Nothobranchius furzeri: one gene and its partner. The protein of the gene in region 1 interacts with the protein of each later gene in a pairwise test. Links are inferred from orthologs where the notes say so. Each region holds a gene or a part of one and is shown on either strand. Other genes may lie near its edges.

Region 1 (5,823 bases):
GGTTCATGGGAAAACAAATGTGATGAATCAATGATAACTCTTTGTCCTCAGGATGGACCATATGGCTGTGGAAACAGAGCACACTTGTGTCTTTCAGAATAAAAAAAAATCTATATTTTCTGCATGTTTCAGGTCAACAAGAGCTGCTATCTCTCAGAGTGCTTCCACCAACGTTTATCAGAAAGAGACAAATATTATGTTCCACCGCTGCAGACATAACAGGCATCTTTTTAGTGATCTCGTGTTTGGAGAGTCTCATTTCCTGGTAATCAGTAAAAGTTAAAGCCTGTGACACCACCTTGTCTGTTAGCGCCAAAATAGAAAGCAGAGGAGCACTAGAAACTAGCAGGGTGTCAGTCAAAACACACAGGCCATGTGGTGGCAGCGGAAAATGAAAAACCCTTCCACTCCAGTCATGAGTGATCACCGTCAAGGTCTTTAAGGTGTGGGGGTGTGATGGGAAAGGAACAGCACACACACACACACACACACACACACACACACACACACACACACACACACACACACACACACACACACACACACACACACACACACACACACACAGCTGATCATCTGCTGCATAAAAAGCCACAAACTTTTTTTTATGTTAGCATCTGAAACCTGGCTTAAGTCAGACAGCAGTAGAGAAACACTCTGTTGTCATGGTCACAATGTCACTGTCTTTGATCTGAGATCGTTTCTAGACATCTACAGTATAGGAGGAGACATGTCCAAAGTGGTCTTCAACTGGACTCAGGAGGGACAACATCCTGTATAAAAGCACTTTCAGGTCTCATGACTGTTGAGGACTTTGCGTCTCATCCTCAGCAGAACCAAAATGACCCAAAAACAGCTCCGAGAAACAGAACTGAGAAGCTGGTTGGAATGTCATTGTTTTTTTCTCAATCACCTCTTCATGCTCTTCTTGTGCACGGCACTTTCGGAACCTCATACTATGATACATGTGCCCTGGTTGGGACATGCCAACCTGTCATGACTGAAGTAGATCTCTTTAACAAGAGGCATCCCCCAGGGCGCGCGCGCGTGCGTGTGCGTGTGTGTGTGTGTGTGTGTGTGTGTTCAGGCGAACATGCCATCATGTTTGTGGCGTGGTCTGCTGGAGCAAGGCGGGGACTACAGACCCCACTTCCTCATAGTCTTTGTCAGAAGCAGCCGAAGCAGCACAGAATCAAGAGCGCCCCCTACTGGGGAGTGGTGCTCCTGCATGCTGGTAAAATTCCACTCTCACTGATGAGGAAGGAAACCTCAAGTGCAGACGGGCAGAGAAATGACTTGATAAGGTCCTTCTGCGTGTTTTTGGGAATTCCAGGCGTGTGTGGCCGGACTGCTCTGAAGACTCGGAGTTGTCCCTAACCACAAAGAGCTCAAGAAGTCTAAAATAGCACATTTCCTGTCCCAAATGAAAGATAACTCCTCTGGCCGACACACTTCCCCCTTTTTCTGGAAACTTGAGACATTAAAGCTGTTAAAAGCTTCTTGGAAGCTCCAGCCTCCTTTAAGGCTGCTGTTTAAGAGCCTGAAGCTTTTATCGCTTTTCCCTCATACCGCTGATGCTTCTGCTGGCACCAGATACATGAATGTTGAAAAAAAAACATTCCAAATAAAGTTTAAGATGGTGATGTCACGCTGACAGTTATGTTACCCCCAGAGCTGTAGAGCTTTGTTTATACGTTTGTGCATTTCTGTTGTTGCATATTTAAACTTACCATAAACCCCAGTTTCATGCTGAGTTGCCTCACTTTACACATCTTTTATTTGTTTTACCTTTGTGTGAGAAACAAAATGATTTAGAGAAGCTAGAGACACCAGTCATGGCTGTGAGGTACAGGAGACCATTGGACTGTTTCCGGGCCAGGCTGGGGCCGACCGGTGCTACCCGGCCCGGGCCGACCCGGTACAGATGGGAATGGCCCATAAGACAAGTTAGCTACAGCTAATTAACAGTTAGCATGAAGCTAGCATTCATTGAGGCGGTTGTTTAGTGTTCCAGCCAGTTTGAAGGCAGTCTCTGAGAAGAAGTTAAAGACAGGTTACTGAAAGGCCTCAAATCAGAGAAATTAGTTTCATTCTACCGGACTGACAATTGCTAACAGCTAGTGCAAGGGAAGTGGTTCATGCAGCATCATTTCATGAATACAGTTTAATGCTCACTTGGAAAACTTCACGTGCAAAATGTGGCACTTCTGGCGAATCTAAGAGTCAAGTTCAATTGGAATATCGTAACATTCCCAAAGTTATTCCAGTTTTATGGAATGTTAAACATTTCACCAAACTGAGCCTTTTCAGAAAGCTATCTACTGTTAGTACAAACATTATTAATCACAACTTTGTTTATAGAGACACTGTTAAAAACGCAGAGTTTGCTACACAATCCCAATGTAGGAGCAACATCAGTTGTGCTCTCTTATCCAGTGAGCCCATGTCTCTCTGGGCGATGCAGCAGCTTTTCTAAAGCGGCTCACTCTGAGGATAACAACTAGCTGCCCCTTCTGCAGTTTGACGTACAACAAAATCTCTGGTCTTAACTTTAAAACCACAAACATGCCTTCATAACCTATGATTGCTCCGGAGCTGAGGAGCCTGCCCCGTCTTGTTACCAGATACCCTCCTGGATTCTTGTCTGGAGGCTGCTTGGCCTGTTTCTGCATGCAGAGTCCAAACATGCTGCATTCACCTAGAAATGATGAAGTTGGTCTCAATCCCAAGGATTAGTGTGTTTTAATCATTAAATATGTGTTTACACCTTCAGGAATTGTAGTCTAAAGAAAGGGTTTGTGCTTGCTGTGGGAATAAACGCCCCTAGAAGCCAAATGCACACGTCTGAATCCTTTTACAAAAGCTATAATCCTGCAGCACATCTACTGTGGTGAACTTACAAATCAAACATTACAAACTTTATTCCCCATAAATGCAGAAAGACTTTCAGCTGAACCTTCAGAGTGAGTGAGTCAGCAGCTCCATCTAGTGGTGCATGTAGTTAGTTTCATAGATGAAAGACAAAAACAATATGGCTGCTCCCTTGTTTGAGGTTCTCAGTTAGCAGGAAGAAGCTGAAACTCATGAAGAAGCTCAGGTAAATCAGTCTAAACCCATTTATTCTGTATTTAAGCGTGTTGCTGACATCTCTATCTACGTTAGGACATCAAACATAACAGACATGCATCCTGCCAAGGTCTAAAATAGATAACATTCTCTGCAGCCATGATGGACACAAAGGAAATCGTCCACCTTGCTGTCCAGATGGAGAAGCTGGCTGCAGACCGAAGCTTCGTGGACATCCAGACCCTCCTTGGTGACCTGGATAAGTCTCACATCACAGCAGAGCAGCTGGAAACAACAGAACTGGTCAAAGTCCTCTATGGAATCTTGAAGACCTGCTCAGACACCAATGTGAGGAAGGGGGTTAAGAGCTTGTTGTCCAGGTGGAGGAAACAGTACAGCTGTGAGAGGACAGGAGGGACACACTCAGATGAGAGAAAAGATCCTGCAGGTTCTTCAGCCCAAGTGGATGGAGATGGTGGAGTACGTGCTCCAGAACAGCAGGCAGACCGTCCCCTCCAGGGTACTTCTGCTTTGTCGGACTCTGTGAGGACCAAATGCGTTCACCTTCTCTTAGCTGCCCTCCATCCTGAACCTCCTGATCAGATCAAGGCGGAGCAGCTGGCTGAAGACATTGAAAAGCACATCCATGACCTCCACAAAACCAGCAGACTCAAATACAAAACCTGTGTGAGGAGCAAAGTCGCAAACCTGAGGAATCCCAAAAGTCCTCACCTGTGCCAGGGCCTACTGAGTGGCTCTCTGCTGCCGCAGGACTTTGCCAAGATGTCTGTGGAGGACATGGCCAGTCCAGAGCTCCGGCAGCTGAGAGAGGAGTTTTCATCACAAGGTGTGAGTGAGAGACAGCTTCCTCAAGGGGTGGAGGGGACGCCGACGCAGAAGATCCACTGCAAACGGTGTGGAGGATCAGACTGTAGGGTGACACAGGTGTCCAGGGGTGCTCTGTTTCTACCTGCATGGGTGAGGCAGGGAGGCATTGACCAGGACGCTATGACATTTGTGACCTGTAGGGGGTGTGGTCAGCAGTGGTACCACAGTGGCTGGGTTTGCTTCTAAATCAGGTGATGGTGGCAGAGGAGTTAATTTTTCATCCCCAAAACCAGAGGGTTGCAGATTTGCATCCCCGTTATTCTGACGCAGTCGTTGTGACAAGACACTTCATCCTCCTTACCTACTGGTTGTGGTGAGAGGGACTGGTAATGCCAGTGTGTCCCAGGGCAGCTCCATCCTTCCATCCTCCATAAACAAGACCCTTAAACCTCTAGAGTAGGGATTCCCAAAGTGTGGTGCGCGCACCCCCGGGGGTGCTAGGGGGTGCGCGAGGTGAAAAGTGTAATGGCTGCAGAGCTCAGAGAAGTCTGTCATATGTCACCATACATATATATATATATATATATATATATATATATATATATATATATATATATATATATAGCCATGCCCTGATGTGGGGGCTGGGGGGGTGCGTCGACATGGTCGGGACATAGAAGGGGGTGCGCGGCTAAATAAGTTTGGGAACCACTGCTCTAGAGGAACAGATGGTCCCAGCCTCACGAAGAACTTTCAACCTTTATTCTAAATACCAAACCGGCTTTTAAACAGTTTTATTTGTTTTCTGGATTAAATAAATGTGTAAGTCAAGTATTTAGTTTAGCTTCCCTTAAAGAGGGACTGCACACCATCAGAAAATGTAACTCCACCCTTAGTCAAGATTTGAAACATGCCATGAAAGTGGGCGTTGCCAGGAGGCACAGAGTGGCATGGCCAAGTGCGGGGAATTTCCATCGCGGGAGGGAGGAGGAGTAGGAGGAGACTGTACTGATGACGTGGAATTGTACCAGCCCCAGTCAATCATAAATTTAAAATGCAGTAGCCACAGTTCAACCCACAGGGGGCAGCCCTAAGATGTTTCTAGATCTAGATTTAATCAAGTTTACACAAACATGTCAAAAAATGCACAGAAACAGAAATATTACATTTGTAAAGACCCAATTATACAGTTTATAAACAAAAAAAAAAAACGTTGTTTTGGGGGTTATTTACTCTTTAAAGCCCAGCCATGTTTTTGATTTACCTCTGAAGAGCTGAGGCACTGCTTTTAGTTGTAAAGTGAAACCAGAAGTTATTTAACTGCAGCCCCACTCATCAGATTCTCTGAATCATTTCCTGTCTCGCTCTTCAGAGATTTTACATTTGCAGCTGTTTATTTAAACGCCATTAGTGGCTTCCACCATCTTCCTGCTGCACTTATAAGTGAGTCATTGAGAGCTTGGATATCGGGTGAAACCCCAAAAAAGTGACAGCAAATATCTCATTCATTTGTTGCCAGTGGCGGTTTTACCATTAGGCATAGGTCGGCAGCCGCCTGGGGCCCCCTTCTGTTGGGGGCCCCCCTAGCCCTGACTGCTGGCACCCCCTCTGTTAATGCCACAATGGACTATTCCTATTGCACAAACAGGAAGTGATTGGTAGTCATTCCACTCCAATCCAGTTGGTGGCAGTAATGCACCAAATTCTTGTTTGCCAAGTGCCATAAGACCACAAAAAAGAAGAAGAGAGGCGGGAGCTTTCATAACAAACTCGAAGCAGTAGTCAAAACTAAGGATGAAATGGAGTTATCCTAGTGGCTCCAATAAGAGAAAGAAGCAGCTTGCTTTAAAAAAGCAATCTTCACTTTGAAAGTGACGTCGTTTTTCAATGTAAACATCACAAGGAAGCAGAAAAGCAAAGACAATGGAA
Region 2 (5,877 bases), on another chromosome or scaffold:
TGTAGTGATGTGTCAGTCGCTAAAGACAGCTCTCAGAGCCGGCTCCCTGTTGGAGTAACCAGAGTGAGTGACACACACACCGCACCTGCGGGCTCCTGAGCCACTAAAAACGGCTAAATGTGCGCGTGCGGCGTGCTAAACACACGTGCAGCTTGCCCCGGATTGCTGTGAGACCGGGTTGGGGGTTGGGGGGTGCAGCTGTGGTTGGGACAGTTATTACATTAACTGATGGACTTGTAAATAAATAGTTTATAAATTAGGTAGAAATAAGTTCCTCACACTGATAAATAATAACTAATCTCTCTGAGGACACGGTGCTAGTGCACTCTCCTACAGCACATTGAAACGACTCAATAAATGTTATGCAACATTTTGTGAACATAAATGTATTTGCATTTATTTGTTATGAATGCCACTGTATAATTCTTGCTGTCAGTATTTGCAAGATATTGGTATTTGGGTCTGTACTGGTTAGACTTAAATGAGTTAAACCAAGGTCTATAGCCCTTGGGTCATAGACTATGAGCTATAAGTATATACACACATATATATATATATATATGTGTATATATATATATATATATATATATATATATATGTATGTATATATATATATATATATATGTATGTATATATATATATATATATATATATATATGTATGTATAGCCATGCCCTGATGTGGGGGCTGGGGGGTGCGTTGACATGGTCGGGACATAGAAGGGGGTGCGCGGCTAAATACTTTTGGGAACCACTGATCTAGAGCTCACGGTCAACTTCATTTTCATGGTTAAGAAAAACAAGTTCAAATGATCAACCCCATGCTCCACTTTGTGACCGAACATCTCAGCTTTGGTAAAGGTCATAGCTTTCCAGTGCTTGTGGTTTATTCAGATGCAACTTTGCAAACCTGATTTGTGTTCTGTTGATCTTTCGAAATCAAGCAGGTTTCCTCTTGCCAAATGTTTAAAACAAGTCATATTTCTTTAGTGATTTTCTAGGGTCACAAGCTTCTCTGTTTTAAGATCTATTACTTTTTCAATCGATCGATAATGGTCCAGTGTGTAGTGTAGATATAAATAGCTCTAAGATGACTTACTGAAAATTTAGCCATGTCTGCCATGGGTGTTTCAGGTATCAACTACATTCATAAAGGGTGGGTGAGATCAGAGGAGGGAAAATGCTTCTCTGAAGTCTTGGGAAGCTTTAGGCAGGAACAGAAACTTTATAAGTTGAATGTTTTTAGCACAATTCTTTGATATCTCAGTTAACACCAGACTTGATTTGAAAGGGCAGCAATTTAAAATATAAAAATCCTGCTAATATTGTTCATATCTGGGGTGGAAAGCTGGAAATATTACCAATGTGTTTTTGTTTGTTAATGTTTTACTATTTGTGTACTTCTGCTGCAGGAGGGACAAATGAGAGTGATTACTTGGATAGTCCTTCCATGAGGAATTGTCTCAGGAAAACCAGGGGAGAGCTGCTTTTACGGGAGTATGAGGTTGTCAAGTTTTTTTGCTCTATTTTAGTTCAGAATTCAGCTAAATGTCTTTGTTTTTGCCTTGTTAGCTAAACACAGTATGCATTTTTATTCAACAAGCTGTTATTTTGGTGGTTAGAAGGTAATTTTGCAAACTTCTTGTGACAGGAGGAGATCGACGGGCTTATGAGAGAAAACGAGGAGTTAAAAACAAAAAATCTACATCTGGAAGAGCAGCTGAAGACTGCGTTGCATCCCTGCAGCGTGAATTCAGCCCAACCAGATGACAAAAAGGTTTCTCCATTTGTTATGGAGGAATGGAAGAGCAAACTGCAAACGGCTACAGATGTCTGTGATAAAATAAAGCAGGACATGGACAAGCTCAGAGAGGTACACACGCTGGAGTGTGTTCTACAGAGAACGCTCAACATGACCTGTCTTTGGTTTGGATCCACTTGGTCAATCTGAATGGATGATCACCCAAATATTTTGTGTGCAGAAGAAAAAAAACACACATAAAAATAACTTACTATTCCATTCTTTTCTAGGACATTTTTAGTGGTTTTAAAAATCAATTCGTAAAATAATCTAGTTTCTAATGAGTCTGTGTGTTTTATTTTGTAGGCCAACAAGTCCTTACGATCTCAAAATGTTAACCTCATACACGAGAACACGAGGCTCAAGACCGAGGTGGCCAGCAGGTCTCCTCAGAAGTAAGTATTTTTGTGAAATGCCATCAAAGGTTCGCCTCATTTTTTGATCTTGAAGCCTTTTTTTGGGCTTTTTGCCTTGCAGTTTTCTCTTTTCCACACATAATTCTCTATCGTTTCCATTTATCTGCAACAGCTTAATCCTAAGAAGAGCAAGACAGTGATTTGTGCATTGGCAGCATCTTTGGTACTTCAATCATCAGAATAGTTAAAACATTTTTATTTTATAGAATTTTCTATTTAGTTTTGATATTTTTAAGATTAAATATAACGTAAACCGATACGGTTATCTGTCAGTCAAATAATGAGCAACACTCCACTGGATCAGCCTCAAGAAGTAACACTGCTAATAATTAATAAAAATTACACCTGCTTGTAACTTCCTGTCTTAAGATTTTTGCATTTTGGTGAAACTGATGGCTTGTTTTTGATTTCTAGCTCCCATAAGATATTTAAACTAAACGTGTTGTGACTACATGACACGCCATTTGACCTTTGTGTTGTGATTTCAAAATAAAATGCTCTGTCCTCAGGTTTGGTCGATACACAGTGGCAGCGCTGGAATCAAAGATTCAACAGCATGAGCGTGATGTGGAACACCTCAAACGAGCTCTGGAGCGCAGCGACCAGTACATCGATGAGCTGGAAGCTCAAGTCAGGAAATCTGAGAAGAAGCATCTTGAAGTCCAGGATACATTTGCAAGCAGCAACAGTGGGGCAGATGTTCTCAAACACGAGCAGAAATTCAACATGATGATGAGAAGTTTGAGTGACAATGAGAGGATGTCCATCTGCAGCAACCCAGAGGTCGAGTTTCGAACATTTTCTAGAAATCCCAGTTTGGTGTTCCAGCCATCTGTGGAAGACAAGAGTCCAAATGGAGAGCAGAAGAAGGAGGACTTGGAAAGCACCTCCTCTGATTTCCTTCCCACCACTCCATCTTCTGCTTTCCGATCCCTGACCCTGAGAAGTCCAGGCCTCCGCGGGAAGAAAGTTGCATTTAAACCTGTGCCTCATCTGAGAAAGCTTAACTTTGAGGAAAATCCAAGTCCATCACAGACAGCTTCAGCCTTGGGGAACAAATTCAGCAGCGTTGAGAAATCTCCCAAAGGCTTGAGTGACATGGACCCCTCAAAGTCTATCTTCTGGGGCTCCTGGCATCCAGGTCCAAGTGAAGACAACTCAGTGAAGGAATCTACATCTGCTAATGCTATAAGGGAAGACCCTAACAGCTTCCAGACATCTAGTGAGGCCTCCATGGATGCAGCTTACCTGGACAAAATATCAGAGCTGGACTCCATGATGCTCGATGGAGAAAGTTCCAGTAGCAGAGGATCACAGCTCTCCTTGACTTCCTCTCCTCCAGGAGACTTGAATGGCACCCTCACCCCAGAATCTCAAATCTGCCCAGATTCCTCGTCCGGCTCTGGTGGTAAACCTGCAGTCCAAGGTGAGGACGTACAACAGGATCTGGGTAGCAACATGGACGACACTTTGATTTCCAAAGAGGCTCCAAGTGGATCTGAGGATAATTTTTCTGTTGAGGGTGGTCCTTGTAGGTTTGGTTCCACTGAGCACAGAGAGCCCTCTCAAACTGATGAGCTGTCTTTTGATTTGCTGTTTGATCATCTGGATCAGGTCGAGGCTGTCCCCTCTGGCTCCCTCAGTCCAGAGGCCCAACTCCAAGATCAGGATCACGTAACTTCCTCTTCCTCTGGCTGCACTGGTAGTAAGCCTGTAAACACAAGAGACAGACACGCTCTGAACAGCAGCCAGCCAGTAAAGAGGAAGTCTCACAGCCCCTTTAACTCCAGCAGTCCCACCAAACTGTCCAAGCTCATGTGAAGGTTTCATACAACCCCCGTGATCTTAGATTAGATTCTAGCTATATGTTGTTGGGAAATAAACGAATAACAGTGATGTTATAGGGTGTAACCCATTGTCACGTGTCTTCTGTAGTGTTATATGGAACAAGCTAGGAAAACAGTTAAATAGCTTTTAAAATGCACTTGCAACATCTCAGCTCATTCACCGTCGGGCCTCTCGCTCTTTTTTACCTGCCTGCTTGTCTGTAATTTCCTTTTATTTAGCAATTAGGACACTGAAGATTACTGCTGGATTATGACTATCATGTGCTGTATTATAATGAATTAACACATGGAAAATTTTGTTAAGAAATAAAGAAATAAAGCAATGCAACCTCCCTGACGCCCCCTGGAGGCCACTGCTGTGGCCCCCCAGACTCTGGAGCTCCTGAGCCTGAGATCAGTGGACTCAGTGGTCTCCTTTAAAAAGCAGCTGAAGCTCACTAGGTCAGCCTGGCTTTTGCATGACCTTTGCCACTACCCTCTCCTTCTTCCTTTCTCATTCCGCCTTTCCCACGATCCATTGATTTCCCTCTTTCCTATAAATTTTCTGTCTCCCTTTACTTACATTTATTTGTTCTTTTCTCCTTTTAAACATATTTTTAATCATTTTAAAAAATCTTTTTATACTTAAATTTTTTGTTTTTGTAAAGCATCTCATGATTAATTTTGATCTTGAGAGGTACTATATCAATCAATCAATCAATCAATCAAAGCTTTATTTATAAAGCGCCTTCCGCAACCCTGTCAGGAAGCCCAAAGCGCTGAACATTGTACAGTTGTATGTAAATATATTGAATAAATCAACAATAAAAGAAATTCAGATTACAAAACACAAATTACAAAATACATAATGGAAATTACAAGATAGATGAAACATTCTGGTAAAGGACAAAAGTGTGAAACACATTTGGATTGAGTGGATGGATTGAGTGTACCAATGAAAACTGGAATGGATTCAACATAATAGAAGGCCATAATCAAACATGTTCTGGAAACGCCAAGCGGAGGAGGTGTGTTTTTAGGTGATTCTTAAAGACTGGCAGAGAAGGGGACAGCCTAACTGAGGGTGGCAACTGGTTCCAGAGTAACGGTGCTAGGACTGAGAAAGCCCGGTCCCCACGGGTACGACACCTAGACCGAGGGACAGCGAGCAGGCCTTGGTCAGAGGAGCGCAGAGCACGTGATGGGGAATGTTTGTTCAGGAGAGTGGCCAGATAGGGGGGAGCACCACTCTGGAAGAAATGATAAACAAAGACGAGGAAAATCGGAAGCCAGTGCAGAGAGGCCAGAACCGGACTGATGTGGTCCCGTTTCCTGGTCCCAGTCAGGAACCTGGCAGCGCTGTTCTGCACAACCTGTAGGCGATGCAGTGTTGACTGACACAACCCTGCATATAGAGAGTCGCAGTAGTCAAGCCTAGAAATTACAAAGGCATGCAGTACCCGCTCCAGGTGGGCTCTCGACAGCATATGCTTGATTTTTATATAAAAGATGGCATTTACCCCCCCCCCCCCCCACACACACACACACTCACAAAAAACGAAGACTTGAAGAAATGAAGATATTCTTTGGTGAGCCATATCTATTGTCCACATTTTCATGTAGAAAACAATGTTTAACAGTTTCTCAATGTTAACTGTGACAGTTATTAATTGGTTGGTATTAAAATAGAAATGACACTGCTTGTTAATTTGGACCAAAGCATGTCAGGAGCCATGTAATAGACCACACACACATTAAGTTAGTGCATTATTTATTATGCAAATGAAAGGATATTGTGTATATTTCACATACCTCTAATTGCTGCATGAAATTTT

What was found.
Region 2: the proteins of transcription elongation factor A N-terminal and central domain-containing protein (region 1) and obi1 interact in binary tests that used the Homo sapiens proteins (3 or more experiments, as listed by UniProt). The two-hybrid records come from large-scale screens. The link is inferred for Nothobranchius furzeri from reciprocal best matches to the Homo sapiens genes TCEANC and OBI1.

The regions. Positions count from the first base shown.
Region 1 is NC_091754.1:47,119,126-47,124,948, reverse strand, and holds transcription elongation factor A N-terminal and central domain-containing protein, read left to right. Parts: upstream 1-3,009; 5' UTR 3,010-3,097; intron 3,098-3,162; 5' UTR 3,163-3,225; coding exon 3,226-4,140; 3' UTR 4,141-4,318; downstream 4,319-5,823.
Region 2 is NC_091749.1:40,139,401-40,145,277, reverse strand, and holds the end of obi1 (ORC ubiquitin ligase 1), read left to right. Parts: intron 1-1,411; coding exon 1,412-1,503; intron 1,504-1,650; coding exon 1,651-1,872; intron 1,873-2,106; coding exon 2,107-2,195; intron 2,196-2,725; coding exon 2,726-4,037; 3' UTR 4,038-4,382; downstream 4,383-5,877. UniProt on the Homo sapiens protein: E3 ubiquitin ligase essential for DNA replication origin activation during S phase.